Linked DNA regions of Caenorhabditis elegans. The protein of the gene in region 1 purifies or fractionates together with the protein of each later gene. This does not show direct contact. Each region holds a gene or a part of one and is shown on either strand. Other genes may lie near its edges. The genes, in order: dap-3, C35A5.4, str-207 and catp-8.

The links.
Region 2: the proteins of dap-3 (region 1) and C35A5.4 fractionate together in Caenorhabditis elegans (co-fractionation; one large-scale study listed by BioGRID). This does not show direct contact.
Region 3: the proteins of dap-3 (region 1) and str-207 fractionate together in Caenorhabditis elegans (co-fractionation; one large-scale study listed by BioGRID). This does not show direct contact.
Region 4: the proteins of dap-3 (region 1) and catp-8 fractionate together in Caenorhabditis elegans (co-fractionation; one large-scale study listed by BioGRID). This does not show direct contact.

What each region holds. Positions count from the first base shown.
Region 1 is NC_003280.10:10,577,760-10,584,149, forward strand, and holds dap-3 (Small ribosomal subunit protein mS29), read left to right. Parts: upstream 1-3,373; 5' UTR 3,374-3,374; coding exon 3,375-3,584; intron 3,585-3,635; coding exon 3,636-4,370; intron 4,371-4,415; coding exon 4,416-4,512; intron 4,513-4,561; coding exon 4,562-4,647; 3' UTR 4,648-4,760; downstream 4,761-6,390. Other genes in the region: rpb-6 (putative DNA-directed RNA polymerases I, II, and III subunit RPABC2), read left to right, coding at 1,621-2,034; dohh-1 (Deoxyhypusine hydroxylase), read left to right, coding at 2,219-2,286, 2,332-2,717, 2,767-3,209; mrps-22 (Mitochondrial Ribosomal Protein, Small), read left to right, coding at 4,871-4,953, 5,007-5,184, 5,322-6,317.
Region 2 is NC_003283.11:10,493,968-10,501,195, forward strand, and holds C35A5.4 (Major sperm protein), read left to right. Parts: upstream 1-3,065; 5' UTR 3,066-3,117; coding exon 3,118-3,327; intron 3,328-3,400; coding exon 3,401-3,583; intron 3,584-3,865; coding exon 3,866-3,924; intron 3,925-3,967; coding exon 3,968-4,119; intron 4,120-4,385; coding exon 4,386-4,510; intron 4,511-4,557; coding exon 4,558-4,767; intron 4,768-4,823; coding exon 4,824-4,904; intron 4,905-4,947; coding exon 4,948-5,016; intron 5,017-5,072; coding exon 5,073-5,171; intron 5,172-5,218; coding exon 5,219-5,284; intron 5,285-5,327; coding exon 5,328-5,357; 3' UTR 5,358-5,449; downstream 5,450-7,228. Other genes in the region: ugt-33 (glucuronosyltransferase), read left to right, coding at 1,058-1,168, 1,210-1,349, 1,426-1,658, 1,710-1,846, 1,897-2,119, 2,165-2,438; C35A5.3 (Major facilitator superfamily (MFS) profile domain-containing protein), read right to left, coding at 5,519-5,623, 5,670-5,823, 5,866-5,976, 6,021-6,101, 6,353-6,561, 6,607-6,948, 6,999-7,226.
Region 3 is NC_003283.11:4,948,246-4,954,553, forward strand, and holds str-207 (Seven TM Receptor), read left to right. Parts: upstream 1-3,488; coding exon 3,489-3,677; intron 3,678-3,728; coding exon 3,729-3,816; intron 3,817-3,860; coding exon 3,861-4,074; intron 4,075-4,194; coding exon 4,195-4,336; intron 4,337-4,382; coding exon 4,383-4,790; downstream 4,791-6,308. Other genes in the region: str-209 (Serpentine receptor class r-10), read left to right, coding at 690-881, 1,787-1,874, 1,923-2,136, 2,191-2,332, 2,381-2,779.
Region 4 is NC_003282.8:11,471,945-11,482,390, reverse strand, and holds catp-8 (putative manganese-transporting ATPase catp-8), read left to right. Parts: upstream 1-3,139; 5' UTR 3,140-3,158; coding exon 3,159-3,243; intron 3,244-3,301; coding exon 3,302-3,555; intron 3,556-3,603; coding exon 3,604-4,320; intron 4,321-4,802; coding exon 4,803-5,594; intron 5,595-6,296; coding exon 6,297-7,299; intron 7,300-7,642; coding exon 7,643-7,839; intron 7,840-7,883; coding exon 7,884-8,023; intron 8,024-8,138; exon of another isoform or gene 8,139-8,357; coding exon 8,358-8,610; intron 8,611-8,662; coding exon 8,663-8,758; 3' UTR 8,759-9,028; downstream 9,029-10,446. Other genes in the region: nse-4 (Non-structural maintenance of chromosomes element 4), read right to left, coding at 47-192, 240-321, 369-627, 674-833, 901-1,174, 1,223-1,429, 1,473-1,538; mbf-1 (HTH cro/C1-type domain-containing protein), read left to right, coding at 2,239-2,550, 2,598-2,756; wht-2 (ABC transporter domain-containing protein), read right to left, coding at 9,080-9,220, 9,267-9,461, 9,508-9,597, 9,835-10,104, 10,146-10,353, 10,414-10,446.

The DNA.
Region 1 (6,390 bases):
GAAACATATTATGAGCAAGGTTTAAATAATGCGGTAGCTTACTCATCCTTTCCCTTCTTGGTGAAAGTAACTTCATTCCCGTTTTTCAGTTCCGTCGTGATGTGAACGCTGTACTGATAGAACAACGAGTCCTGGTGCATCTCGATTCCGAATACGTTGGTTTGTATTTCGGCCTCAACGCCACATTTTCCTGGTTCAGTCGGTGCTGGATACAGCTTTGCAGCTGGAGCGATCTGAAATTTAACAAATTAGAAGGTTATGAAACCGATTAAACGTACATTGAGCTCTTCCAGTCTCTTGATGCAAGCGTCGTTAGACGTCTGATACTCCGATCTTAGCGGTTGAGTTGGAACTGGAACTGGTGGAACGGCAGGTGGTGCGTGGACGCTCGATGGAGCTCCAGAAGGCGTGTAGACTGATGGAAGGGCTGGCATCTTTCGATTTTGTCCTGTAAATTGATAATTAAAAGTAGTGTAGGAAGTATAGAAAAAAATGCGTTGATATATCAAGGAGGTGCGACATTAATATTTGAAACAAAAATATAAAAATAACACACAAAACGAGCATCGAAAACGACAAATTCCGCGAAAAAGGGGAAAAGAAAATACGAAATTGAAAATCGCGGTAATGTTTCGTATCGGTATAGGTTCAAAAGTGGTAGAATTACATAATTTATTACTAATAAATCCGTTGAATGATAAAAATGATAAAGCTCATATATTTAACATGCGACCTGCCGGTCCGAGAGTAAAACGAAGAAGTGACGATTTCCTTGCGCGGTGTCGACGTGTTGGGGTTTGATGTGCATGTGTGGTAGTACTGTAACACTCGTGACGTGTGTGTCTTTTGGCGCGGCTTTCAAACAGGAGTTTCCCGGCTTTGTCGTTGTTGATGACTTCCGTGGATTGTCGTGAGCATTTAGAATACGGAAAGACTTCGTAATAATCATAATAATTCTTTAATATTTCCTTGACGCATTTCCTGGGTATTAATATCATTTCTTAAGTCGTGATCGGCGGAATATCAGTATTCTGCGTATTCGCGACACTCCCGGCCCCTTCAAAAATGGCTTATTATCAGCTCGTGATACTAAGCAAGACCCGACCATTTCCGTTACCATTTTACTTCTTCATTTCTGTGTTCATTTGCTTTTGAACCCCTTACTATAAAAAGTCGTGATAGGATGAATATGTATATTCTCCTTCTTCGCGACAGGTAATCCTAAAATTCTGGGTTACTGTAGGTGACTTTCGCTGTGAGACCTTCACTAGAATTCAAATTGCCTCTCACAACGACGTTCCACCGTTACGCCTTGCGTCTTGTTTAACGTAAATCCACCTGAACAATTTCGTAGAACCAATTTTCTTTCTTTTGCTTTTTTGCTTTTCCTGAATGGAATAAATTGAAAATATCTTTAAAAGTTTTAATATTTAACAAATTGATAATTTTTCACTGTTACAATAATCTAATGTTGAATCATCCGTGTAGAAATATCTTTAGGCCTGGTTCTGTATTGATTTTCCTATTTATATTTGTATCACTCTTGTATTTCATTTGATTATCGGTTTTTTCTTATAAATGTTAAGAAATAACTAGTAAATTCAATTTTGCAGACTCAGAATGGCCGATGAGGACGATTATCAAGATATGGATAATGATGATTTCGTTGACGACAACGAAATGGAGGACGTGATCGAAGAAGATCCACAACGCCCTGACAATGAGGACGAGGACGATGACAACGTGGACGAGAATTTCGAGCTTTTCGATCAAGGAAAGGCTGTTCCGACTAGTGAGCATGTGACAACTCCATTCATGACAAAATACGAACGAGCTCGAGTTCTTGGCACTCGCGCTCTCCAAATCGCCATGGGAGCTCCGGTTATGGTTGAACTTGAAGGAGAGACCGATCCATTGGAGATTGCTCGCAAGGAGCTTAAACAACGCCGTATCCCGATCATTGTCCGCCGCTACCTTCCAGATGGATCATACGAAGACTGGCCAACCGATCAACTTCAACTCGCTGATTGGTAGAGAAATGTTTCTCTAATTTTTCCTCATTTTAACTGTTTCACCTTTTTTGCTCTCCTCATTTCTGATCTTACACTCTCATTTTTATTTTGTTCCGTTCGTATTATTCTCTTTCTCTCTCCTTGTTGACAATGTTATTTGAAAATTAATGAATAAAATTTTAGATTCAACTCGAACAACGGGAAAGATGGTCGCTTCGCAAAAGTTCTCTGATGCCGAAATCGACAGCTTTGGAGAGGCATTAAACGACACAAAGTAATCTTGTAGATTTTTTTCCAATTAATAAATGAAAATTTTCAGGAAACCTCTGAAAGCTCGTTTCCGAGCTCTATTTATTCTCCGGAATATTGGATGTGATCGTTCTGTTGACTGGATTGGAAAATGTCTGAATGACGAATCAGCACTTCTGAAGCATGAGTTGGCTTACTGCTTGGGTCAAATGCAGAACAAGCACGCCATTCCAACACTTGTGAGTGTTCTTGAGGACGAGAAGCAAGAGCCAATGGTCCGCCATGAAGCCGGTGAAGCGTTGGGAGCAATTGCTGATCCTTCAGTCAAAGATGTCCTCCGAAAATATGCACAAGATCCGTGTCCAGAAGTTTCCGAGACATGCCAAATTGCATTAGGAAGGGTGGAATGGGTTGAAAAAAGTGGAAAGGATACCAACAGCCCTTATGATAGCGTTGGTAAGCGATTCAATTAAACATATTTTGCTTATAAAAGTTTAATTTGTAGATCCAACACCATCAGCTTCAACATCCGACGTCGAAGAGCTCGCAGCCACTCTGATCGACGCTTCACTTCCACTTTTCGACAGATATCGTGCGATGTTCAGTCTAAGAAACATTAAGACAGATAAATCCATCAAAGCTCTTGCTCAAGGTCTCTACTGTGAAGATAGTGCTTTGTTCCGTCACGAAGTCGCATACGTTTTAGGACAACTTCAGTCGCCTGTTGCCACTCAAGAATTGAAGGATCGTCTTCTACTGTCAACTGAAAATTGCATGGTCCGTCACGAATGTGCTGAAGCTCTTGGAGCAATTGCCAACGAAGAATGTACGGAGATTTTGAAGCAATACGTCAATGATGAGGAGCGTGTTGTTCGAGAAAGCTGCGAAGTTGCCTTGGATATGGCTGAATATGAAAACAGTGATGATCTACAATACGCTCACGTTTAATAATTTTTTGTTGATTTCCTCCTGTTCTTGTTCATTGTTTTGTTTTCCAGTTTTAATTAAAAATTTCACCTAGTTTGTGATCCAGTTTCTAATTCAATTTACGTTTTGTCGAAATTTATCTACTTTTACCAGATTTCTCCCGGAACTTCAGACAAGTTTTACAGAATGAAGCCGTGTGGAAACCTAATGTGCCAGATCGCTCGCCGACTTCCGGCTCGCCAGCTGCATATTTCGAGACGATCCAATTCCCAGTTAGCAGATGTTGGAACTCTTTCCGAAATTGAGATGCCAGTTGCCAAACAGCTTAATATGAGAAATCATCTGCCAGCTCCACTTTCTAAACAGATGGATACGTTGGGAGAAGTTGTTACCTTGGTTAGTCGGCGATAATCAATGGAATATTATATTCAATAAATATATTTTCAGATCCGAGAACCAATGGCAGAAGTAGCAAGCTGTATGCGAGTTGTGGATAAAAGTCTTCCAGCTCTTCGCCTCGTGTTATGGGGAGCTTTCGGAACCGGAAAGTCGGTTACTCTCAATCAAGCTGTTCATCATGCTTATAATAATAAATGGGCAATTGTTCATCTAAGAAGTGCAATGGAGCTGACAAGAAGAGTAAAAGAAATTGAGATGTCATCTTTTGTACAAGGCCGTATCAATGATCCATCGAATTCTGTTTCTATTCTCCAAAATTTCAAGCAACAAAACCAACATATCTGGAAGATTCTCGGAGAGTTGCTCACTGAAAGAGATTATGAATGGTCGAAAAGTGAACGAACGTTGAAAGGAAAACCTATCACTGAAATTATTGAAATGGGAATCTCTGCTCCGTTCCTTGCCAGTGATTGTGTTGGTGCAATCTTCCGAGAGCTCCGACGCCACGCAAAAGATGACAAACTGAAGGTTCTAGTGGCGATTGATGATGCGAATTCTCTGTGGGGAAAAACTTTGGTGAAACGAGCTGATAGAACCTATGCACCACCTTCGGATCTTACTCTTGTTGTACATTACCGGCGAATGATCGAAAATGATTGGACTAATGGATGTGTTCTGATGGTTGCAGATAAGAAAGAGGTTGCAGACGCCAGGGATCATCTCGGAGTCTCCAGGCACACTCCATTGGAATTGTTTGGAGAAGAAGGATTTGAATATGTTGAGGTAAAATTGAAAGCATATATATTATCTTGAAAACTAATTTTTCAGCCATTCGTTCCAATTGAAACGTCAAATTATACGGAAGCCGAAACAGATGCAATCTATAATTACTATGTGAACAAGAACTGGTTAGCATCAAAAGCAGGTGAGAGACCGCCAATCCCATTATATTGCAATTTCCAAATTGTTTGCAGCTCGTAGCGAGGAAGGAAGGAAACAACTTATGCATCTCAGCGCATTCAATCCATATTATTACGAGAGGCTTTGTGCGTTCAACTGATTTAAATCATTATAATTTACGTTTTTTGTTGAGTGTTTCTGTTTTTTTTTAATTTTTAGGTCTCTAGTTTTATTTGTTATGAATAGAGAATGAAAAATAATGTTTTTATTATACAACTGGCCATTGTTTTTGTTGTTCGTTGTTCCTGTTCTGATCGGGATTTCATATTTATTCTCTGTATCTTATTCTATTTTTATTCATCAATTTCCAGATCCAGATCTCCATGCTCCAGCTGAAACCTCGAGTTTCGGCATTAACCCGGCTTTCAGCCGAGGTTCGATCTGCATCGCAATGGATCAAAGCAAGGTATTTGAATTTTAAATTTTGTAAAATATATATTTAATATGATTCATTTTCAGTAACTCTAAAACACCAGACGACATCAATGTTGAGAAACTCTTCGTTGAGAAGGAAGTGCAAAAGCTACTGACGGATTTAACAGAAATTGATTTGGAGCACAAAGTGTTCAGACCGCGAAGAACTTCGATTCAACAAAGATCTCATTTCGCTCTTATGACTGAAGAACGACTTGAAAAGGTTTGTTTGAAAATGATTTATAATTTACCGCATTTGTCGATTTACAGTCGAGTTTCTGATAAACTTGGATCTGCTAGACTAGAAACTACTCACCAAAATGAGAAGCTATTTATTCAATTTGACTTATTTTTTTCCAGACTCGAGAGCGTATGCGTGAAGAAGCTCGCAGATTCCTACAATTTGTTCCAGTGAAAGAACCTCGCGAGGAGAGTGTTCAGATCCTCGCCAAAGATCTCGAATTGAAGGATTTTGACACTAGCAAATTCGTATTCACTGATATCACTTTCGATGCGACCGACCAGGATCGTACTGTAGTCGTGAGAGAACCCGATGGTACATTGAGAACTGCGAATCCAGAAGAACATGATCGAATGAACAGAACTTATTATCAAAAACCGAATCGTTCTGTGAATCCTCCACCACTCTTCTCGGATCCAAATCTACAAAATGCTCTTGATAAGAATGATCACGAATTCGTTCTAGACTGGGCTTGCTGGTTTTACGAGCCTGACGATCCGGCCTATGTTCGTTTGAGTCAACTCGTATTTGATCGTATCAATGAATCTGGTAAATTCCATGTCGTAACCTCAACTCGTCACTTTGGACCATTCACTTTTTATTTGGCACTGAACGATAACATTCAGAAGCTTTTGAACTATTTTGGTGGACTTGGAAGATTATCCGACTGTGCAAATCTTGTGAGACTTCAGAAGGCTGTTCGTCCCGATTGGAGAGTTACAATTGCTCAGGGAGATTCTGATGAGAAGATTGTAAAGGATTTTGCGAAGCAGAATGCTCGATTCCGAGATGAAATTCAGGATCTTTTGAATTTTATCAACAATGGAAAATTGAAATCAGATCAGGAGCAGACGGAGCACGTGAGGGAACGATTTGGAGTACGAGTGGACAAGAGAAAAGCACGCATCACTTCAGCCAATATTCGTGGAGCCGATGGACCACTTGGTGATTTGAGCAGTGAATATTCGGTGAAAGTGGTGAAGAGTGAGGGAAGTGGACGTGAAGGAGGAGGAGGTGAAGAGAATAAGAAAGATGAAGGAGGACGTGGTGGTGGAAAAGGACGATGGAGAAGTAGGGAAAAGAGATCAGATGATGATGGAAAGAAAAAAGAATGATGCTTTCTAGATAGAGATTTAAAGTGAAAATTGAAATAATTTTTGTATTTATTAGGATTTTAGCTATCTATTG
Region 2 (7,228 bases), on another chromosome or scaffold:
CATTCCTCGTATATCCCCAGGAACCTACGAGGAATGTACGACAAAGGCACAACACGTGCGTATATTGAGGTTTCTACAGCTCTGTTTACTTGATGTTTTGAATATTTTCCACAAATTTTCTATTTTTTAACTATTTTTCTCGATAGAATGAAATAGGATAATTTATACTTGGAACTATTAGGTTGGTAAAAAGGTCTTGTCCTATTTTTTATCTGTTCTTGTGAGCCGTAGATCAATTTCGGTGTTTACTCCCTCCTAGTGATTGATAAGCAGAAAAAAGTCTTTGCAGTAATTAACCCCCATCCCTCTCCCTTTCTCTCGGTTCATGTTCACTTGAGATGTATATACTGCAATTCATCTTCGGCATGTTCTGTTATACATGCTCCTGACGCACACCACAATGTAGGATTCAAAAACTCTTCTGATAAAAGTTTATGATGTACCTGCTTCCTTGTGTAAAAACATACAGAGTTGGTTCGATCGTTCCGGAATTAGAGACTTTTCTGTAAATTAAAAGAAATGCCCAAAAGACCACATGAGTTGGATTTGAATGAACTAAAAGCCAGTGTTGAATCGGATCAATTTAAAACTACCCGTGAGCTTGCAAGCACGTTTGGGGAAACATTATATATTTATAGCAGATGTCTTGAAATTGCTCGACATGAGGAAAATACTTGGTCGATTCGTACCTCATTATTTTACCCGTTCTATCCTTGAACGCTGAGTTGATGTTTCATTTAATCTCCTCACTCTCCACGGCGGTGACCGTTGGTTGGGCCGTCTTATTACTGGAAAGAAAAGTAGGTGTTGTACGCTCTCGAATCACCAGTGAATGTGCGATGAATGCGCGACGACCTACGAGCGCAGCAACGTTACATTTTGTTTCTCTCCTAAACTTGTCGTATGTTCCTCGTATATTGGTCGTGTCTCCTTTTTACACTCACAGTTTTGTCGTACATTCCGGACTTCCTCCTAAATGTACGAGGAAACTGCGAAGAATGTACGATGCGAATTGCCGAGATTGTTCTGTTTTTTCATTATTTATTTTTCATTTCAGCCATCGCTGAGTATCTTGGAATTAAAGCTTTATTACCTTCACTTTCAATGACACATCATACACAAATGAGCAGATGGATTGGGGAGCCATCGTCACCAACTGTTTTGCCAAGTAAGGAATTATTCTGAGAAGTAAGAATTATTTTATTTCAGGTATGATTTCCTCATTTGGGGATGACATGAATTTTTGGGAACGTCTTGGAAACACACTGGGAGATGTTTTTTTCACACTGTTTGTTGACATGCCTCGAATGACTTCATTCAGTGATCCAGAAAGAAAAATTGACTTCTATGTAAGTTATACAGCAACTTTTAATTATGTTAAACCTTTGAATGAGATGGTAATACCACAAAAAATCAAGTTTTCAGGAAATGTCAGTCCGCGCACCTTTCATGTTTATGAATTCCAATCCATATCTTGATTATGCTCGACCAATTCTCACTAAAACTGTTTTAATTGGAGGAATATCTGTTAATGTTACTCAATTGAAGCAGAAAAAACTAAATGAGAAATATGATAAAATTATCAGTGAGAGACAGCAAAATATTCTTATTTCATTTGGCTCTATGATTTTCTCGAAAGACATGCCTGATGTATATAAGTGAGTTTTTCTTAATGAAAACTGAGTCGAAAGTTGTATATTATTTTACAGAAATACACTTGTCCAAGTTATCAAATCATTTCCAAATGTTACATTTATCTGGAAATATGAAGAAGATGACGTCAGTTTTGCTAAGCACTTGCCAAATCTTCATTTCTCAAAATGGGTTCCACAAACTGCGCTGTTAGGTTAGTTTTTTTTTCTGATCCCCAACACAACTTGATTGATTGAATTTTAGCTGATTCCCGTCTTTCTGCATTTGTTACACATGCTGGATTAGGAAGTGTGACAGAATTAAGTTACATGGGAAAACCAGCAGTTTTAATTCCTCTTTTTGCTGATCAATTGAGAAATTCAAAAACGTTGTCCAGGCACAATGGATCAATAACTTTGAGCAAATATGATTTGAGCAGTTTTGAAAAGTTAAGATTCGCAATAAACACCATTTTAAACGATGAAAGGTGTGTTTGTGAAAAATATAATTTAATATTTTTTTCACAATTCAGGTATAAAATAAATGCTGAAATTCTCTCACAACAACTTCAAGATCAACCTGTTTCCCCACATGCTCTACTTGTGAAGCATGCTGAATTTGGAGCAAAATACGGAGAGCTGCCAAACCTTGATCCATGCTCTCGTCAGATGTCTTTTATTTCATTCTATATGCTTGATATTATAGTTTTTGTTGGTTTCATATTAATCACAACCACCATCGGGATCGTATTGACAGTAAAATGGATTTTAAAATTCTGTTTCAAGCAAAAACAGAAAATTCAATAATGTTTTATTTGATTTATGTTATTTTTTTGTACGGGTTTAGAATGAACCCTTAAAATAAAATTGGCATAAAATAGTTGATTTTAGATAGCCTAATTTCTCACGAGACATTCCTTCTTAACGGCGCGCGGTTTTACCCAGATGGGTACAATTTATAAATACATTTTTAATGAAAGCAAGTTCATTTGTGCTAGTTTTTAAACAACTTTTAACAGGAAAATGAAAATAAAAAGATGATATTCGCTGAAAACAAAGTGATATATAACAAAAAAGACTACCGTATGTACATTGTTTTGCCCGCCGATACCCATTGAAATAAATCCGTTTTTAAGATGGCATCCCAAAATCTTGTGAAATTACTGTGTATTATACGGTCTCCTAGTCCTACTGCCATTTTTAGATGGTTTTTCGACTTCAATCGAATTATTTATTTAGTAATTCACAAATAAAAACGAGAGAGTGTTGCAAAAAAGAGACGCAGAGACGTTTTAAGTTTTCACGTTTTTTTTTTAATTTTAGAAGACCGTCCTATTATGCCCAGTCATTTTTTTCGATTTTAATTTTTCGCGTGACGATATGGAATTCTACATATCTGAGTGATTTGGAATTTTTTAGAAATTATATTTGTGGCATATTTATTCAATAAAGTATCAGTCATTCCTCAACACTTCCCTGATACAAAATGGCGACTTATTCAAAATCAGGAAAGAAAAAAAAAGTGGCCGAACCTGCTGTTCAGAAGATAAGGAAAAGTCGTGAAGAAGATAAAGCCACACCGTGCTACCTATCAAATGATGGATTCTTGTGGACAGACAATAACCCAGATTTGAAGTTGATCGAGCCACGAATTTTGGTCTCCACCAATTATAACTATTTGGAGTTTTCTAGAAAGGTTTGTGTATGGAATAAATAACACAATCAACTTAAATTTCTTTGGGAAAATCAGCCTAGAATCAAATTTTCAGGCGGATCGTCCACCCGAGCGTCGTGTACTAACACTTATCAATCATGGAGATCATCCAGTTGCATTCGAAGTACAAACTACAGACAATTACTCGTATTTTATTGATGTTGTGCATGGAATCATACCGCCACGTCAGACATCTGTTAACGCTGCTATTCGAATGCCCAATTCTGTTTGTATTCAGGTATATTTTGGTTAAAACTATGGCATCGGTAAAATGTTTTTACGTAATGAAAAATGAAGGTCGTCATCAAATCCTATCAAGAACAAATCTCATAGGTAGCAATACAAATTCTGAATTACCTGCTCAATTTTTATGTCACGTTCTATTAATTTGAGTTTTTCTTACAAATATAAAAATGTTTCAAACTACAAGTATGTTTTCTGGAAAACAAAATTGCGAATTAATGTTAAAACATTAACAAATCTATCGTAAAAACTGTGCGCCTTATAGTATAATTTTCAGGTTTATCACAGACCATATAATGCATATTCGGCAGAAAGACAGAGTGATTTTTTCAATCGGTATGTTTTAAATATTCAGGCAATGTTGAATATATTATTTCAGTCCACGGAAAGATAAGATGTCGATTTTACTGGCTCCTCAAATTTGCCAGACTTTTTCTCCTGAAGCAATTTTCCACAACGAAAGAAGTTATGAGAAATTGCGAATTATGCTGAAGTATACCGGAATTGAAGAAAAGTCAGGAGATGGTAGACGTGCGTTTTGTTTTCTTGAAACCGATAAAGTTTCTCAACAACTGTAGAAACAGTGTAAAAATTGTGTTGATTTGCAAATTTCAACACTATTTTCTATTAATTTTTGAAATATAATAGAGCATTTCACGTAATTGTAGTACGACTTAGTCTTCCACGCGGCTGTTTATTTACAAAAAACGACTCCAAGACGTATGCTAACTGTTATGATTTAAAAAAAAAAAAAGCGTGGATACAACTGTAACTTTAATTTTCCAACATCATTTCAGCCAAGCAGTTTATTTTACACGGAGTTCCTGGGTCGGCCACATGGAAAGATGACAGTGGTATAAGAAAAACGAAGAATGAGCAACAAATGTTGGAGTTTAAGAAAATCGAAAAGACAATCATCCAGGTTTGCTTGTTTTTTCCGATCATTTTTATACACACTTTTTTTTGCAGAATGCCTCAAAAGAAGTATGCGAAGAAATGTCGAAGAAGCCCATAATACGCCGTCCATCGCCACTACGTGCTCGTTCCAAAACTCCAGGATCCAAGGATAACAAAAATCAGCGTGATAAGCGTGAAGGTGGAGTAATGAAGATGTTTCGAAATCTCAATCCATTTGATAGAACTCCGACTCCGACTACAAAGAAGACACAATCGGTTACGGTAAGTTTAACACTTGAAGACGAAGCACAACCTCCTACACAAATTGCATTTTTCAGCCCAGTAATAGTACTCCGTCTCCAGCAAAGCCAGCCACTCCAACAAAAACGCCAACACCGACTAAGAAGCCTGTAGAAAATGTATCACAATTTTACAATATATTTTCAAATTACCATTTTTCAGAATGAGACCCTATCTCAAGTCAAGACAGTTTCCAAGGCACTGTCTCATTCTCCCAAGTCACCAAAGAAGGTTTGGTTTTCAAAATTGCCAGTTTTTCCAAAATTCAAATTTGATAACATTTTCAGAACAGTCAGGAAAAGTCGGCTCCACCATCACCGAAGTTACCACCGAAAACTACAGCACCAACGCCAACAAAAGACGGTGGCAATCATTCTCCAAAAACGGTGAGTTTATTTTCAAGGAACTGATCATTTAAAAATTCAATATTCAGACTAACAAGGCATTAGAGCCGCCGCCGAGCCCAAATCGTACACATTCGCCAAGTGCATACCAACCCGTAAGATATTTGATTACAAATGTGTATGGAATCTTATTTTCAGGCGATGTCTCCGAAACCTACTGGAAAGTAACTCTGTGGATATTCAATAGTGAACAGAAATGTTTGATAATTATTCTTTTTTTTTGTTTCGTATTTATAAAATGAACAGGGACAGTACATTTGAAAATTCACACAGTGAGGTCTTTATAAAGTATATGTGTTTCTCATACAGGAACGTACATACATGCTTCGTCAACATTTCAGGTCTTCAACTGGAACCTCAGTATATGTGGCTTTTTCTGGTTCTGTCCAAGATGCTGGCTGGTCCGTGAATATAAAAACTGATATTGCGTTTGCCTGGGTAATAATTTGATTTAAATTTGAATTTCAACATTGAACTCACAATAAACATAGAAACTCCCAAACTAACAAAAACTGGAATCCATTCCTCTCTATTCGATTCTGTTTCTACAAAGAATGCAACCACAGCAGGAGCTGAGAACAGTGCAAGGCATTTAGTGAATTGAATTGCAGCAATTACAACATGAGCATGCTGTCTGAAAACATGCATCTTAACTAAAAATTTATGTTTATCAAACCTCGCGTGAAGAGCTGCACATTTATAAAATCCTCCAACATTAACAGCAACAAACATCATAACCATCACAATGCAAATAAAACTTTTCCAATTTTCTTCTGATGGAATAAATCTGAAAACAAGAGGATCGAAAATTGAAAATTACATTAGACTTACCCAACTAGTGCAAGTGTAAGACCAGATACTCCGACGGAAATAGTGTTAAAAATTATAATTTTCCATTTTTCAGAGACAAACCTGAAAATAAACTTTTTTTATTAAACACTTTTGAGTGACAGTTTCAAAAAGCATTTTTTAAATGTTCATTAAACCATGGCTGGTAAGCCGGCGTCCGGTTTTTCAAGCGCCATTTTTAACATTTTCATTTTATGTTCCAGATTTTTCAAACTTCCAAAAGGTAGAGAAATTTGACGCCGGATCGTCTAGCATCTGGAAAACTGGACGCCGGACGTCTGGCTTGCCACTTCTAATTAAAACTAAAAACTTACGTAATTCTGTCGCTGAATGCGGCCGATACCAGTCTTAGTGGAATATTGAAACCTAAAATAACAGCTACGTAAAAACCGGTTTCTTGTACCGAGTATTTAAGAACTTGATGGAGATATATCGGCATGTAAGTGGCAAAAAATATAACGGCAGTCATTTCAAAAAAAGCATTCAGCCACACAATAAGTATCACAGGACTTTTGATAATTTTCTGAAGGTTTTGAAATTAAAATGATTTCAATTAATAAACTCTAACCCAATAAGGAATATCTCCATTCTTGTCTAAATGAGCTGCAGATTTATTCTTATGAATTCTTCCCAGCTCTTTTCCAGATATTCGTTTTGAATCTTGCGGATCGTCAATATATATCCATGCCCAAAGTGCAAAAAGCAAAAGTCCTGCAAAGGCATGAAAATAATAGGAATATTGCCAACCAAATGAGCTTTCACAAATGAGTCCAGTTGCTGAATTAGTGATCATTGAAGCTACACCAGTGAAGCATGTAAGAAGAGCAATGAAAAATGCAGTTTCTTTCAATGGAGCCCATCTCACTGTCATTATCCCAATTGCAGCAAAATCAGTAGAATAAGCTAGTCCCTAAAATGTTTTGAAATTTCTCAACTAAAGTGTGAAAAAATATCTCGAACCTGCAAAACTCTTAGAAACAGAAATAGAGTAAGACTTGTTTTTGCAGCAATAGGAATCAAGGCTGTGGAGAAAAGTGAAACCAATCCAGCTACCAAGAATGGCCATTTTGCTCCATATTTCACCACAACCCAATTAGTTGGAATGGTTCCAAATATTGTACCAGCACCAACAGCCCACATTATGTACTTTTTTTCATCGCTCGTATAGTCATAAATGCTTCTCATTGTCT
Region 3 (6,308 bases), on another chromosome or scaffold:
AATCAGAGTTCCAGAAGTTTGAGATAAGTAAACGACTTGTTCCCAGACAGACATGGCTAGACTGAAATAACGGATAAATGAAATATCTGGGAATATCTGGGAGAAATATCAGTTGTCTGTTGTGCTCCTCAAAGGCTCAGAAAAATGTAAAAATGCTCTAACAAAAATTTTTAGATCACACAACTGAATGCCATTCGAAAAAAAATTTTAATTTTTTTTTCTAAATTTCCGGTCAACGTTTTAGAAAATTGCCAAAATTTTGAAAAATATGAGCTATTGAAAGAATCCAAAGCAATGTCGCATGTTTCGACCCCTACAATGTTTTCATACAAACAATTAAAAAGTAGGCTTAAATATAAAAAATGTAGAAAAACTTTTTTTTTTGGTCGACTTCCAAAATTATAAGTGGCAAAAACTGAGTAATTGGCACTTTTTGACGGCAAATAAAAAATTATATAAAAAATTTTCTGGAAACGTTTTAGTATTAGTACAGTTTTAGTACATGATTTACTTCAAGTTTTTTTTGTTATTGCATAACGAAATCACAAGACTAAATATTTAAAATCTCTTGTGATCATCGTTTTCTTGTTATGTCGCCATCAAGCTGTTATTACAATTAATAACAAGAAAAACACGGAAATAATGTTGTTTACAGTTTTTTTTTTCAAATATCGATATTTATCGGATAAATGTCGGCTTGGCAAAACTTTCAAAAGCGTGCTCAAATTTTCGGAGTTATTTTTGCTCTTTTGCACAACTTGCTGCTTATTTTTCTGATAACCGAAAAATCGCACAAAGAATTGGGTACATACAAGAACTTGATTATTCTTGTAGCCATTTCTGAATGCTTCTATGCAGTGTTGGAAGTGACAGTTCGACCAGTAAGTTTTATTAAATTGTCTTTGTCGCACTGCAACTTTTTTCGAACGAGGGACGAGGCAAAAAGGTTTCTAGGCCATGGCCGAGTCCCCGACAAATTTCAGCGGCCATTTATCTTGCTTTGTTTTCTGCGTGTTTTCTTTCATTTGTCACCGATTTTTTCCGTTTTTTCTTATCAAAACAAATAAATAAATATTTTTTGCAGATGCTAATACAATTTCCAAGTGCAAAAATTGTGAATTCAGTCGGCAAGTAGCAGTGAAAGTGGGCAATGTAATATGATGGATTACGGCTATACAAAACCCAAACTTTTTCTGAAACATGATATATATGCTTTTAAGATGCTGAAAGTACCTGATTTTCATAACGAGACAGCTAAAAAAGTTTTTAGATTTTCAAAATTCAACATTTTGTGCCAAAATCTCGACTTTTTTACCAAAAAAGTTGAATTTTGAAAATCTCAAAACTTTTTCAGCGGTCTCGTTATGAAAATCAGGTACTTTTGGCATCTAAACATCATATGTATCATGTTTGGGGAAAAGTTTGGGTTTTGTATTCCCGTAATCCATCATATTACATTGACCACTTTCACCGCTACTTGCCGGCTGAATTCACAATTTTTTCATCTGGAAATTATTTTAGCATTAACAAAAAATATGTATTTATCAGTTTTAATAAGAAAACACGGGAAAAATCGGTGAAAAACACAAGAAAACAAAGCAAGTAGAAAATGTCGTAAAATGCGGTGTATTGTGTGCAAACACCGATTTTTCGCATTTTTTCTCAACCCTCGTTCGAAAAAAGTTGCAGTGTGTCGGATGAAATGAACCCGGAAACCCTCAAAACTTTGAACATTACTGAATATATCTAGCTGTATTCGAAGTGATTTCAAAATGTTCTCCTTCAGGTTATTCATTCGTTCGGATTTACATTCGCATTGATAGTCAATGTTGAAGACTCTTTTCTTGAATACGGTGTACTTAAAGTTCTACTTGGTAATAAAAGGTTTTTATTTATCTACAAATAATTTTTCATATTTTTAGCTATGTACTGTGCATTTTTTGGCTCCTTTTTAGTGATTTTCAGCGTTCAGTTTATTTATCGATACTGGGCAGTTAGTGGAAACAAACATCTGAAAGAATTTGAAGGGCTTAGAATATTTCTTTGGACTTTGCCTTCAATTTTTTGTGGTCTTATTTGGTGGCTTGTTGCTTATTTTCCATGTGCTAAGCGGCCAAGTACTGATGAATATTTAAGGTGAACTTTTTTATCTAGAACTTGTACAGTTTTTGGTAATATTTCGAATTTCAGAGATAGTGTAATGAAAGAATTCAATTTGTCGATCGAAGAAAACTTGTATGCCGCTCCGTATTTTTATGAGGTAAACACAGATGGAACTACAGATATATATTATCCATCCTTCATTTCCATCATTCTTACGACTGTTTTAGTTGTATGTGCTTGTAGTTATAATCTAACAAATAATTAATTTTTGTTTAAGAATATCTCTGTTATAACCGTGTTTTATTTTGGCATCAAATGTTACTCATCACTACGTGAACAAGGGGCACTCGTTTCTCAGAATACTCAAAAACTTCAAAATCAGTTATTCTACTCATTAGTTATTCAAACAGTTATTCCATTGTTTTTGATGCACTTTCCGGTTGCTGCCATGTACTGTTTCACATTTTTGGAAATCGATGTTGGTTCACTAAGCGGAATTGTAACAGTTACACTGGCAATCTTTCCCGCAATTGATCCACTTCCAACATTGATTATGGTGAAGAGTTATCGGACAGCAATCCAATTCTACATTTACTTGTTTTTCAAAACTATTACCAAGATGCTTCAACCTTCTCAAGATAACTCTATAGCAATGACTCAGACGAGAGCAATTTAATGTGTTTGATCGAAATTTTTTAAGAATTTTTGAGTTTTTAATAAGTAATAAATATTCTTAAAGGTGGAAATCTTTCGATTACGCAGTCAAGCAATGCAATTGAAATGTCTTGCCCAAAAACTGTCTGAAATTCTTTTCACTGTATCATTTTGTCACATATCCAACACATTATTTCATTTATCATGTGTTACTTTATTTTTCAATAAATCTTTGAAAATCATTGATTCAAAAAATTGCCATTAGTAGTATATAAAAATATGCGCGCAACAAATGCTATTCGACAATTTAGAGAATTTCCAAAAATTCTGATAGTGGCAAAGTTTTCACTTTTTAAGCTGAACGTGTCTCAAACCTTGAAATATTTATTTTCATATAAAATGACTTGCGGAATACTTAATTGGCGAATTACATGAATGGTTCATATGAAAACTGCCTAAATTTACAGCAATCGGTGATTGCATATTACTGAAAATTTCTCAGAAGCCGTGCATCCATGCTTAAAATCTAATTACGTATACATTATTTTTGTATTGACCGCGACTTTTGTTGTTGATACTTCTATCATCAATCCGTCTCATTAATATGGGTGACTGGTATAACGTTGTCTGCATTTTCAGAATAACAACATTGTTTCTGTCTCCAAAGTCATTGGAGAATATCTTGAAAACTAAAAAAATCATAATATCACCGCAATAATATCACTAAGATCATGCTCGACTGGAAGTTATTTCAAAATTACCAGCTGATTGGATCTGTAATTGGATTGTTGCTCAATTCGCTAACAATTTCTCTGGTGGTGAATAAGTCACCTCAACAAATGCGCGCATACAAAAATTTGATAATTCTCACTTCTCTTTTTGAGATTAATTATTCTGTTCTGGAGTTACTAGTGCAACCAGTAAGTGTGGTAGTTCCGAAAAACTCGATGAAATGAAAATAAAAATTTAAGATGTTTCATTCTTTTGGATCAGCATTTGCAATGGTTATAAATGTAGAAAAATGCTATCTAGATCGGAATGTGCTTATGGTGCTTGTTTGTAAGTTTCCTTACCGTGATCGTTCATAGATTATGCATTTTCAGCATTTTACAATGCATTTGTCGGTTCGCTATTGGCAATGTTTTGTATCCAGTTCACTTATAGGTACTGGGCAATTAGCGGTAACATATGGCTCGAGAAGTTCAATGGATTTAGAATTTTGTGGTGGGCATTAGTTCCAGTGTTGTGTGGAGCTATTTGGTGGTTTGTAACATACTTTCCGTGTTCCCCAAGGCCGAGTGCCGATGAATATTTGAGGTAAACATTAAGCTTCATAGAAGGACATTGTTAGGAAAATAATTTTTGCAAGATTATCTAACTGACAAACCCAAGTCACGACAACATGTTGCACTGGATAATTTTTTCAAACTATTTTAGAAACGAAATAATGAATGTCTTCAATCTAGATATTGACAAAAACCTATATATTGCACCGTACTTCTACGAAACCAATTCCGATGGAATCACAGATATCTACTATCCATCATTCATTGCAATTATTGTGAATATTCTTATAACAGTAAGTTAAATAAGTTGGTTCATTTTTATCATCATCCTATTTACAGATAGTTTCATTAATAACTGTATTTTACTTTGGCTTCAGATGCTATATATCACTTCAAAAGATCTGCAAACAAAATGTTTCTCAAAACACTCGTGGGCTTCAAAAACAATTATTCTACTCATTGATTGCACAAACTTTGATTCCATTATTTCTTATGTACATTCCAGGATGCGCGATGTTTTTATTGTCATTTTTAACAATTGACGTAGGCTCTTTTACTGGGATTGTCACTGTGACAATTGCCCTGTTTCCTGCGGTTGACCCACTTCCAACATTGATTATGGTGAAATGCTATAGAAATTCACTTCGATCCTATCTTCGTGTATTCTTGAGTGCAGTTTCTAAAATGTTTCAAACTCCCGATGTACCTGCAAATGTGACAGAGCTTTCAAAAGTTACAAGATTGTGAAAATGAATAAAAGTTTTGGTGTCCTATTTTTTTCGAATCAATAAACAATAAACATTGATAAACATTAAATTAAATTGATAATAACATTAATGGGTGTTAGAATTTAAATTCAGAGTAAACAACTGGTTTGAGAAGTTCAAGGATTTAGATCTCAGCCGACTAAGAGTGTAGCGTGAAGTATATATTTATGTATTTGCCTTTAAAAAATAATTTTCCATCCCAGATATGCATTTTTTCAATAATATCTCGTTCATAAAAACAATTTGGTAAAATATTTCGAAGAAGTTAAATGTAAAAGCGTTAACTTAATGGCAGAGTAGCACCAGTGGGGAAAATATTGAAAATCACTCCAGTGGTGCCAAAAGGACCAAATATGAGTAAAATTTTTCATAAACTTTTGAAACAATTTTTTAAACAGTCAAAAAGTGCCAATTATTTCAATTTTTATACAAAAATGATGTGTAATCCATGTGTTAACCATTTTTACACATAGCAAACATTTGAGTTTGAAATTGTATTCTTGAGAAATACTCAAAACCTCAAAAGTTTACGATTTTATTATCATTTGAGTGTGACGTACTAAATTGAAATGTTTTGTATGTTTTAAAATAGTTTGCAGTTGGTTACATTATTTTTGTATGAAAAATAAAGAATTTTTGTCAAAAATGTTTTTAAAGATTTTTTGACGATCAACAAATTTTTTTTTGAACGAAATAAAACAAAATTTTTGTATTCTCGCATTGTGTACTAAATTAAGCAAAATCCGAACACAAACCACAACTCAACGCTGAAAAGAAACGAAATCGAAAAATGCCTGAAAAAAATGGGTTCCGAGTGAGCAAAAAAATTTGTGACTGTTGTCAAATGAAAGATTATGGTTGATAACATAAATTCCCACAGGTTCATAAAAATCGATACGCAGCGAACACATTTTTCCATTTTGACCAGGAACTTATTTGGAGACCTAATATATGGCTGACTGGGAATTAGTGTCACGTTGTCTGCATTTTCCGAATAACAACAATGTTTCTGCCTCCCAAGTCATTGTCGAGAATATCTCGAAATCTAGAAACTAAATAGCTACCACAATAATATCACTAGAATCATGCTCGACTGGATGGTATTCCAAAAATGTGTTCAGCATCGTAACATTTGTTTCCAAATTTTGAAATTTTATCATCAATGCACAAAAAACTGTACATTTTCTCTGATGATCTGCATTAATCACCAACAAGTCATTGACCGATATTGTGTCTTTTTTGGCGAACTTCTTTGTTATGCAAAGGTATGGGAGCATACAACCAGATATTGCCGGTTTTCGTTACTTGTTGTATTAAATACGGAAAATAACAAAATTGATAATTGTCTCATTACACCTTTTCTTAAATTTTAAAATTTCGAAGAAGATTTGATAACATTTTTGTAATGCATCGCGCCACTTGGATGTTCTTTTGATTTTTCAATTATTTTCTAGCGGAATTTGAAAAATTGCACCCTATTTCGATTTGTCAATAAATC
Region 4 (10,446 bases), on another chromosome or scaffold:
AGAAAATGATATGGGCATTCAAAGGGGTTGATTTCTAAAACTGAAATTAACCATCGAGTGGCTCAATAATGGTGGTTTTGTATTTTTGAGAGAGCGTTTTCCATTGCTCAAAGCTCAAAGGAGTAAGTCCGTGGGTAGAGTTGCGTTCATCATTTTGCAATTTTTCTTGATCATTCACAGCGGTAGGTTTTTCTGAAAGAAATTAAATATTTACAGACAATTAAATATAAAAACAGTACTCAGAATTGGAACACCGTTTTCTTCTAGCAGGTAAACTTCACGATCGCGCATCAAATACGAGACGTAGAACATATTTTCAACCTGGAAAATGTCCCGTAAAATAGTTATTTAACCAAAAATGAGCTTACCGTTCTAGAGAAACTAGTCGGATTTGTGATGAGTTCGTAATAGTCGATTTGATCCGTCTTCCGAGTTTTAAGCTCTTTTTTCAGAACTTTCAGAACATGTTGAAGCTCTTTTGAGATTGAAACCTCTTCACTTTGAACGTTTCTCGCCTTATCGCTTACTTTGACAAGTGCTGCGGGTTCTTTTCTCTTCGCACCTCTCTCAACCTTCTCGCGGATCTTTTTCTGTTTCTCAACACGTTCAACATCAACTAGTTGGACACTGAAATAAAAATAAAAATATAAATTACAGAAACATTCCAACGAACATGAAATCGCAACCAATATTAAATGGATAAACTGCAGGCTGAATGAATTTTTTATAATGAGGAGGACCATCATCGTCTTTTTTCGAGCTGCTCGCAAAAACCAGCTCAGGAGTCAGACGGTGGAATAGGGCAAGGCGTGAAGCAAATCTATGGTTTTCCGCTGAAGCAAACATATAAAGTTATGTTTAATTTTAAATCAATTTGAACTAAAAATTTAGTTTCCTTACAGAGTCGGGCGTCTTTGTACATATCGTCGTACATTTCATTGATCTCATCCATATTATCATCGACAATCCATTCATCGCACCAGTTACTTTTATCCACTGTATGAGCTTTCACAGAAGTCTCGATTTGTTTCAGAGCATCTCCAATTTTATTTCCAGCATCAACCGGGTCAATTACAGCACCTCCATTTATTTCGAGAAGAGTCTCACGCGTCGTTTGACCGACAAGTTCTAGTAATTCAGTGTCCGTTGAATAGAGAGCGGTGTTTAGAGCTTTCTGAACAAAAAATACAATTACTAGAGGTTTTCAAAAGTTATGACCTACTTTTAGCGGTTTCGATTGTTCTCTCAAACTCGTAACAGCAGATTCCAGTTTTTTAATTTTAGAATCGACAGTTTCAGATTTCCGAATATGGGCGAGCTCGCTTATCTGTTTCTTTAGCTCTTCGGCAACGGCATGATTCTCTCTGCATTGCACCGTTGCACTTTTCTCCTCTCGGTTCCGAAGTTGCTCGATTTTGTCCGCTGTAACCTGAAATAATGTTACTTTTTCAGATCGCATCATCTTTGCTAACCGGCTGTCTACATAAATTGTCCGCAACCATCTTTGAACTCATGCGGCGAGGATCGATACCATCCATTTTATCCCTGAAAACAACACTTGATTTTATTGCTATATTGGAATAGAGTTTTCTGGTTTTCATGAGTAGATTATTTACGATTACTCCTGAGAATGTAATTTGATAAAGCTTTAAAAACGTTCTGAATAGAAAAATATCAAGGAGAAGGGTTCAAGAGAGTGAAAATGTTGCAAAATACAAACAAATTGCAAACAAAAAAACATGATTTTGAAATTCGCTCCGCAATTGCGCGTCACAGTGTTTGCACACAAACCTCATGGCTCCGTGGAACTTTCTCGAAAAATAAACGATTCTCTTTTTGTTTTTGGACTGAAATTTTACGTATTTTCTGAGTGTTTTCTTTTTTCTTGAAATTTGAATAATTTTTATGACAATTGTTCATACAGAGAGCAATTACGTGTTCAATCGTCGATTGAAAAGAGTTCTTCCTTCCGTCTGTCAAGTTTTAAATGTTTTTTGAAATGGCACAAATAAAACGTTTTTTCGTAGTCCATGATTATATATTCTGCCACTAGTAAGAATGAAATCGTTTCATTGTTATTAGTGTCAGAATTTAAAAAAAAACTGAAAATATCGTTGAACATTAATTTATTTGCTTCCTCCGGGATCATATTGTGCAATATTTCATCGTTTCTGACATACTATAAATACAATAACTTCCTTTCAGAACAAGTCTCCAACAAACTTCCATCTTATCAAAATGTCCAAGTATGGCTGCCCAACCTCTGACACTGATCCAAACTCGGTCACAATGATTACGAAGCGAGGACCAGTGAACAAGACATTGAAATCGGCTGCTCAATTGAATGCTGCTCAGCGTGCTGGAGTTGATATTTCGACCGAAAAGAAGACGATGTCTGGTGGCAATCGCCAGCACAGCGCCAACAAGAACACTCTGCGGCTTGATGAAGAAACGGAGGAGCTTCATCACCAGAAAGTTGCTCTGTCCCTCGGAAAAGTCATGCAGCAGGCTCGTGCCACGAAAGGTTGGACGCAGAAAGATCTTTCAACGGTTAGTTAATTTTAAAATGAGATCTTTAATTGAACATTTTATTTCAGCAAATTAATGAGAAGCCGCAAGTAGTCGGCGAATACGAAAGCGGAAAGGCTGTCCCAAATCAACAGATCATGGCAAAAATGGAGCGTGCGCTTGGAGTCAAGTTGCGCGGCAAAGATATCGGAATGCCATTTTCAACAAAGCCACCAGCGAAGAAGTGATGAACTAATAATGTTACATCGAATAGGTCCAACTCCTGGTGTCCCCACTTTCCCGTCTATTTCTCTCATTCTCCAGCCCCGAAATTCTCTTACCGATCCCCGCGTCTCCTGTTTTCTTGGGTATCTCTTTCCGTCTGGCCTCTCTTACCCGTACCTTATCATGGTTTTTGTTCAACATTATTGCTCTTTTTGTTATATTTTTGTATTTATGCTAAATTTATTTTCTTTCTGTACAGAAACGACGCAGGAGAATCTGAAATAAACGTATCATTTTAAATCCATGACTGTGACATGATTCAACTCTCCCAACGTTTCCATATCGTTTACAATTATACTTTAATTCAAATTCGCATTGTTTCTAAATACAAAAATCGATTTTGCAGGGTCCTGTAGCCCGGAAAGATGGGTGTCGACCAACTAGTCGAGACTATTATACCATACAATTTAAGGTCTATAGCAACTCATTTATATGTTCCTCCTTTTACAAGTGAGTCAAAGAATAAGTTAATGAGATGGAATTTTTAAAAATAAATATAATCTTTCAGTAATCACTGCAATCTGGACATATGTCTGGCTCAATATTTTCGGCTATGAAGAATATTATGAACTTGGAATGTTGGGATATGCAGCAATTTTTGTGATTCTTGCACTAGTTCTTCTTTTCTGTCATTGGATGATGCCTGTTCGATGTTTCCTCATGTGTTCAAAGCAAGAAGATGTTCGTATTGCTTCTCATGTGTGTGTTATCCCTACACAAAATAACGGATGGCCGGAATTAGTTAAACTTATGAGAACAACGGTTAGTCACAACTATTTAGAAACATTTTCTTCAAATGAATTATTTCAGCGTGATAAACAAACAAAGTTATGGTTCGAATTTCAAAGAGTTCACTATACTTGGGATGAAGAGAGCAGAGAATTTCAGACGAAAACTCTTGATACTGCGAAACCAATGGTTTTCTTTCAAAAATCACACGGATTCGAAGTTGAAGAGCATGTTAAAGATGCTAAATATCTTCTCGGAGACAACAAAACTGAAATGATTGTTCCACAATTCTTGGAAATGTTCATTGAAAGAGCTACAGCTCCATTCTTCGTCTTTCAAGTGTTCTGTGTTGGATTGTGGTGTCTGGAAGATATGTGGTATTATTCACTTTTTACACTTTTCATGCTTATGACATTCGAAGCAACACTCGTCAAACAGCAAATGAAGAATATGTCTGAAATCCGGAATATGGGAAATAAAACGTATATGATTAACGTGCTCCGTGGCAAGAAATGGCAAAAAATCAAGATTGAAGAGTTAGTGGCCGGAGATATCGTTTCAATTGGAAGAGGTGCTGAAGAAGAATGTGTTCCATGTGATCTTCTGCTTCTACGTGGACCCTGTATCGTTGATGAATCGATGTTAACTGGAGAAAGTGTTCCACAAATGAAAGAACCAATTGAGGATGTTGAAAAAGATAAGATCTTTGATATTGAAACAGACAGCAGATTACACGTTATCTTCGGAGGAACCAAGATTGTTCAGCACACAGCACCAGGAAAAGCTGCAGAGGGAATGGTAAGATTTTGAAAATACAACGTTTTTAGAGTCACCAAAAATGTATTTTATATTTCTTTAATTTTTGGACATTAGATATATTATTCCCAAATTGGTTAAAAATACCGACTTTCGTGATCATACATTGTGAAAATTTCTTTTAAAAAGTTATGGCGGTTCAAATTTTTGAGAAAAAAACTTATTTTCAGTTAAATCTGATATATTTTTTTTCAATTTTTCAGCGTCGCAAATTAATTTTTTAAAAATTATCACTCTGTTGACTAAAAAGGCATTTCAATCAACGAAACAACGCGTGATAAATTGCCAAAATACTTCCTTCCGCGACTTGTACACAAAATTTGAGATTTTCGCTGGAAGTAATTTTTTTTCATCAAATCTTTGAACCAGGCCATTTTGAACCTAATGAAGCCTGTGACCAAATTTCTGTACTCCATCGTTAAGAAAATGAGAAAAAGGCATATTCTCAGCTAAATAATTTGCAGGTAAAATCACCGGATGGAAACTGCATCTGTTATGTAATTCGAACTGGATTCAACACTTCTCAAGGAAAACTCCTCCGTACTATCATGTTCGGAGTCAAGAAAGCAACTGCTAACAATTTGGAAACCTTCTGTTTCATTCTTTTCCTTCTTATTTTCGCAATTGCCGCTGCTGCATATCTTTGGATCAAAGGATCAGTTGACGAGACTCGGAGTAAATACAAATTGTTCCTTGAATGTACACTTATTCTCACTTCTGTTATCCCACCGGAGCTTCCAATCGAATTATCACTTGCTGTCAACTCATCATTGATGGCTCTTCAAAAATTGGGAATTTTTTGTACAGAACCATTCCGAATTCCATTTGCCGGAAAAGTCGATATCTGTTGTTTTGACAAAACAGGAACATTGACAACTGACAATTTGGTTGTTGAAGGAGTTGCATTGAATAATCAAAAAGAAGGAATGATCCGAAACGCAGAAGATCTTCCACATGAAAGTCTTCAAGTTCTAGCATCTTGTCACAGTCTCGTTCGATTCGAAGAAGATCTCGTTGGAGATCCATTGGAAAAAGCATGTCTTTCATGGTGTGGTTGGAATTTAACAAAAGGAGATGCTGTAATGCCGCCTAAAACAGCAGCCAAGGGTATTTCTGGAATTAAAATCTTCCATCGTTATCACTTTTCATCGGCAATGAAGAGAATGACAGTTGTTGCTGGATATCAATCACCTGGAACTTCTGATACGACATTCATTGTAGCTGTCAAAGGTGCTCCAGAAGTGCTCAGAAATATGGTAAGAATTTTATATTTTGTCTCGACAGGACAAATCTTTGTCTCAAAAAAAAAATTGTCTGACTTATCATAAAATGGAAAGCCAACATTTTTGATTTTCCAGAAAACCATAAGAAACATATAATTTTCTCATTAAAAAAAAAATGAAAAATGGCCAAAATTTTGAGCTAATTTTTGAAAAATCGAATGTTTGTTATCGAAAAATTGGAGAAACAGAAAATCAAAAATTTTGGTTTTTTAATTCTTAATAATAAAAAACGAACAATTTATATTTTTTCGATTTTCCGGAGAAAATTATCCATACAATTCAATTTTTATCCTATTTTTATTTATGTTGACGAAAAATGAGAAAAAAACATGAGAAAACACAATTTGTTTCATAAAATAAGAAAAATAACCAAGATGGTAAGCTATTTTTGGAAAGTCAACAGAACGAAGAACGAAAATGTTCGATTTTTAAAAAAAAATCATCGTTGTTGAATTTGTATCGATTATTTCTCAAATTTTGTTCAAATTTATCTGTTTTTATAGCTTTATTTTAGTTATTATCATTTTTATTAGAAAACTATTAAAATCGATGAAAATTCCAAAGCAATGCGTTTTAAATTACAGTTTAAAGGCGCGTACTAATTTGCATTTAGTATAGATTTATAGAAAACTTTCACATCTGCGTAATAGTCATTTTCTAAATTTCTATTTACAGTACGCCGACCTTCCATCTGATTACGACGAAACGTATACTCGTCTGACTCGTCAAGGATCTCGTGTTCTTGCTATGGGAATACGTAAACTTGGAGAAACTCGAGTTGGAGAACTTCGCGATAAGAAACGAGAGAATTTCGAAAATGATCTCGCATTTGCTGGATTTGTCGTCATATCGTGCCCACTGAAGAGTGATACTAAAACAATGATTCGTGAAATTATGGATAGTTCTCATGTAGTTGCAATGATTACTGGAGATAACCCATTAACAGCTTGTCATGTATCAAAAGTTCTTAAATTCACCAAAAAGTCATTGCCGACTTTAGTTCTTGATGAACCTGCCGATGGAGTTGACTGGATGTGGAAATCTGTTGATGGAACTATCGAATTGCCGTTGAAACCAGAAACAAAAAATAAAATGGAGAGAAAAGCGTTCTTCAATTCTCACGAATTCTGTCTGACCGGTTCAGCTTTCCATCACTTGGTGCACAATGAGCACACTTTCCTACGAGAGCTTATTCTACATGTTAAAGTATTCGCAAGAATGGCTCCAAAACAAAAAGAACGAATTATCAACGAGTTAAAATCATTAGGAAAAGTTACTCTTATGTGTGGAGATGGTACAAATGATGTCGGAGCTTTGAAGCATGCTAACGTTGGAGTTGCTCTTCTAACAAACCCTTATGATGCAGAGAAGGCCGCTGAAAAAGAAAAAGAGAAAAAAGCAAAAATCGAAGAAGCTCGTTCACTCGTTCGCTCAGGAGCTCAATTACCACAACGACCAGGTGCCCCAGGAGCACCTCCAGCGGCTAACGCAGCTCGTCGTGATGCTCCTCCTGGAGCCCGCGCGAGAGCTCCCCTACCACCAATGGCTAATGCTGCTCAAGCCCGACTAGATAATCTAATGAAAGAGTTGGAAGAAGAGGAAAAAGCTCAAGTGATCAAGTTGGGTGATGCCTCAATTGCTGCGCCATTCACCAGTAAATATACATCGATTGCATCCAGTGAGTTTTTCAAACAATTTTACCCAGATTTTTGCGCTAAAACTACAGAACCTATGGTCTCGACATGACAACTTTTAAAATACAAACGGGCGCGCGCCTTTAAAAAGTACTGTAGATTCAAAACTCTTGTTGTTGTAGAGTTTTTTAATGAATAATTTTTTAACGAAAAACTATGAAAACTCCGCAGCAAAAAATGTTTAAAACTACAGTACTCCTCAAAGGCGCACACGTTTTTACATTTGCCAAAAATTTGTCGTATCGAGACCGGGTACCGTATTTATTACTTTTAGTGCAAAATGTTGTGCCTCTGTATAATATCATTCACTTCTCAATTTTTTTTCAGTTTGTCACGTCATCAAACAAGGTCGTTGTACTCTTGTTACAACTCTTCAAATGTTCAAAATTCTCGCTCTCAATGCTCTTGTTTCTGCTTATTCACTTTCTGCACTTTATCTGGATGGCGTTAAATTCAGTGATACCCAGGCAACTATTCAAGGACTTCTTCTTGCAGCATGCTTCTTGTTCATTTCAAAATCAAAGGTTTTTTATCTAGCTTATTGTTAATTTTTATGTTAAAATTCCAGCCTCTGAAAACATTATCTCGTCAACGACCAATGGCGAATATTTTCAATGCCTATACTCTTCTGACTGTCACTCTTCAGTTTATTGTACACTTCTCTTGTCTCCTTTACATTGTCGGACTCGCACATGAAGCCAATACAGAGTAAGTTTTAAAGAAAACCTGAAAATGTGCAGAAAATTGTATTTTGCTGTCCAGCCCTAAACCATATTCTTTATAAACGCGAGTTGTATCTCTCCGGCGGCATTGCCGTGTGGTCGAATGGTTAACGTGTGCGCTTGTCGCCCGTTAGTCGCTGGTTCGTGCCCGCGCTGTAGAGTTTATGGCGGATAGGAACCAGGTCATGTTTGTACGTGATTTGGGCCGACATCCCCGCCGAAATAGTCCTGCGAAGATCTAAGGTCGCTTCTGGATGGATTTGCCACCGGGTGCACACCATCTTCGTGCACAATTTTGAATATTCAACTTTTTTTTTCAGAAAAGCTCCTGTCGATTTGGAAGCAAAATTCACGCCAAATATTTTGAACACTACGGTTTATATAATTTCAATGGCTCTTCAAGTTTGCACATTTGCTGTCAACTACAGAGGACGACCGTTCATGGAATCTTTATTCGAGAATAAGGCCATGCTTTACAGTATTATGTTCTCAGGAGGAGCAGTTTTCACTCTTGCCAGTGGACAAGCTACGGATCTCATGATTCAATTTGAACTAGTTGTTCTACCAGAAGCTGTAAGTTTTATCCTATAAATAGTGTTCCTTATTCATACTTCTCTCATTTCAGCTACGAAATGCGTTGCTAATGTGTGTCACAGCGGATCTTGTTATCTGTTATATCATCGATCGTGGTCTGAATTTCCTGCTGGGAGATATGTTCTAAATTACTCGTTTTTCTTATTATCCTTCTTCCTTGACATTCCCTATCAACATCTTTTTTCTGCCATCCTGTTGTTTAATTTATTTTTTCGGTTTTATCTTCACTTAGAACCAAAGCTATCGCATGATCTAAGATCAGAAATAGTCATTTCATTGTCGCTGTTTCAGAGCATAATGTTTCTGTGATATATACATTTCTGTTGAAATCTTGCAGATTCATTTACAATGTATTTATTTGAGTCTTTTTTTAGTAATAAAATTATCATCATCATTCAAACATTCAACAAATTTGTAACGAGTATAAAATTTACATCAGAAATTGTTTCTATCGAGCTTTGCTGACTCGCAAAGCTAATCCAGCGTAACCAATAGTGTAGAAGATCAAAATGAATGCAGACATGATGAAGAGATCCGGATAAAACATTTCAGCGCGGAATGACAATTGGGAGAGTACGGAATCACGTTTCTGAAAAATTAAATTAAAATTAACAGCATTTCAAACTGTTTCTAACCTCATCAGTCCAAATAGTTGTATTCTGTTCATTGACACTGCTCCACTGATTGATTGCAAAAGCCTCAAATCCATATCTGAACCACGAGAGATACTGTATCCACGAGATGTATGATGGTAGTGCACCAACATTAGCGTAAAGACCTCCAGTCAATGATAGAAGTGTGAGCATTGGGCCAGCAGTTGACATTGCGATCTGAAAATTCTATGATTTATGAAGTTAATTGAAGTTTTTTACAAACCGGTAAAGACGGCGAAATGCAAGAAATCATGATTCCACAAGCTGAAGAAGATTGCTCAATGAGGAAGGCGATGAGGCATGCGTATAGAACCTGGAATTCCAATTTTTCAAAAATATTATGGAGACGCAGAATAATGCGTATTTCGAAGTTTGGTCCCATTAGGTATTTGGCGGCAAATCCATGGATTCGAAAGTGTTTTGTATTGTTTTGCCGCCAATTAAAAACGCATTTTTCTGGGTCCCCATAATACAGTATTCTCAATATTATGAAAGGAAAATATGACATCTCTGAACTTCAAGTTTTGACTTTTTTTCCTTCAAAAATTACCTGTGTAATAGAACTCGAGAATCCGACCATCCAATATGATACAAGAAGCATAATAAGTCCATCGGCAGTAAATAGTGGAAGATATGAGAGACATCGAGCCACATAATATGAGAAAACAGAATAAAGACCATCGTGATATTCTCTGGAGACTAATGGAAAGTCGGCTGGCAAAAAGTTCAAAATTCCGAAAATTGTAGAGTAGGTGAGTTCACAAACGAGATAAAATAGAGCTCCGTTCAAGTTTGAAATTCCGATTGAGGTAAGTGGGCTCTGAAGAGTACGAGTTTGAAGAATACTTATATTAGAAATACCTGAAGGTACAGTAATCCAATGAAAAGTCCCATTATCGACTTTTGAATTACTTTTGCTCTTGTCAAAGATGGATTTCTCCATGTGTCGATTGCAGATCTTTCGAGAAGAGCACCGATTTGTGTGAGAATACCAGTTTTATGACGTTCCGATGGTCTTTGTCCTTCATCCGACTTCTCAACTCCAAACTTCAAGGTGCGGCCGTAGGAACTGAAATTTTCAATTTAAAATTTAATAAAATCTATATTAAATCTGAAATAATATTCTTACCTATTCTGAAATTTGGTATAAATCACTTCAATT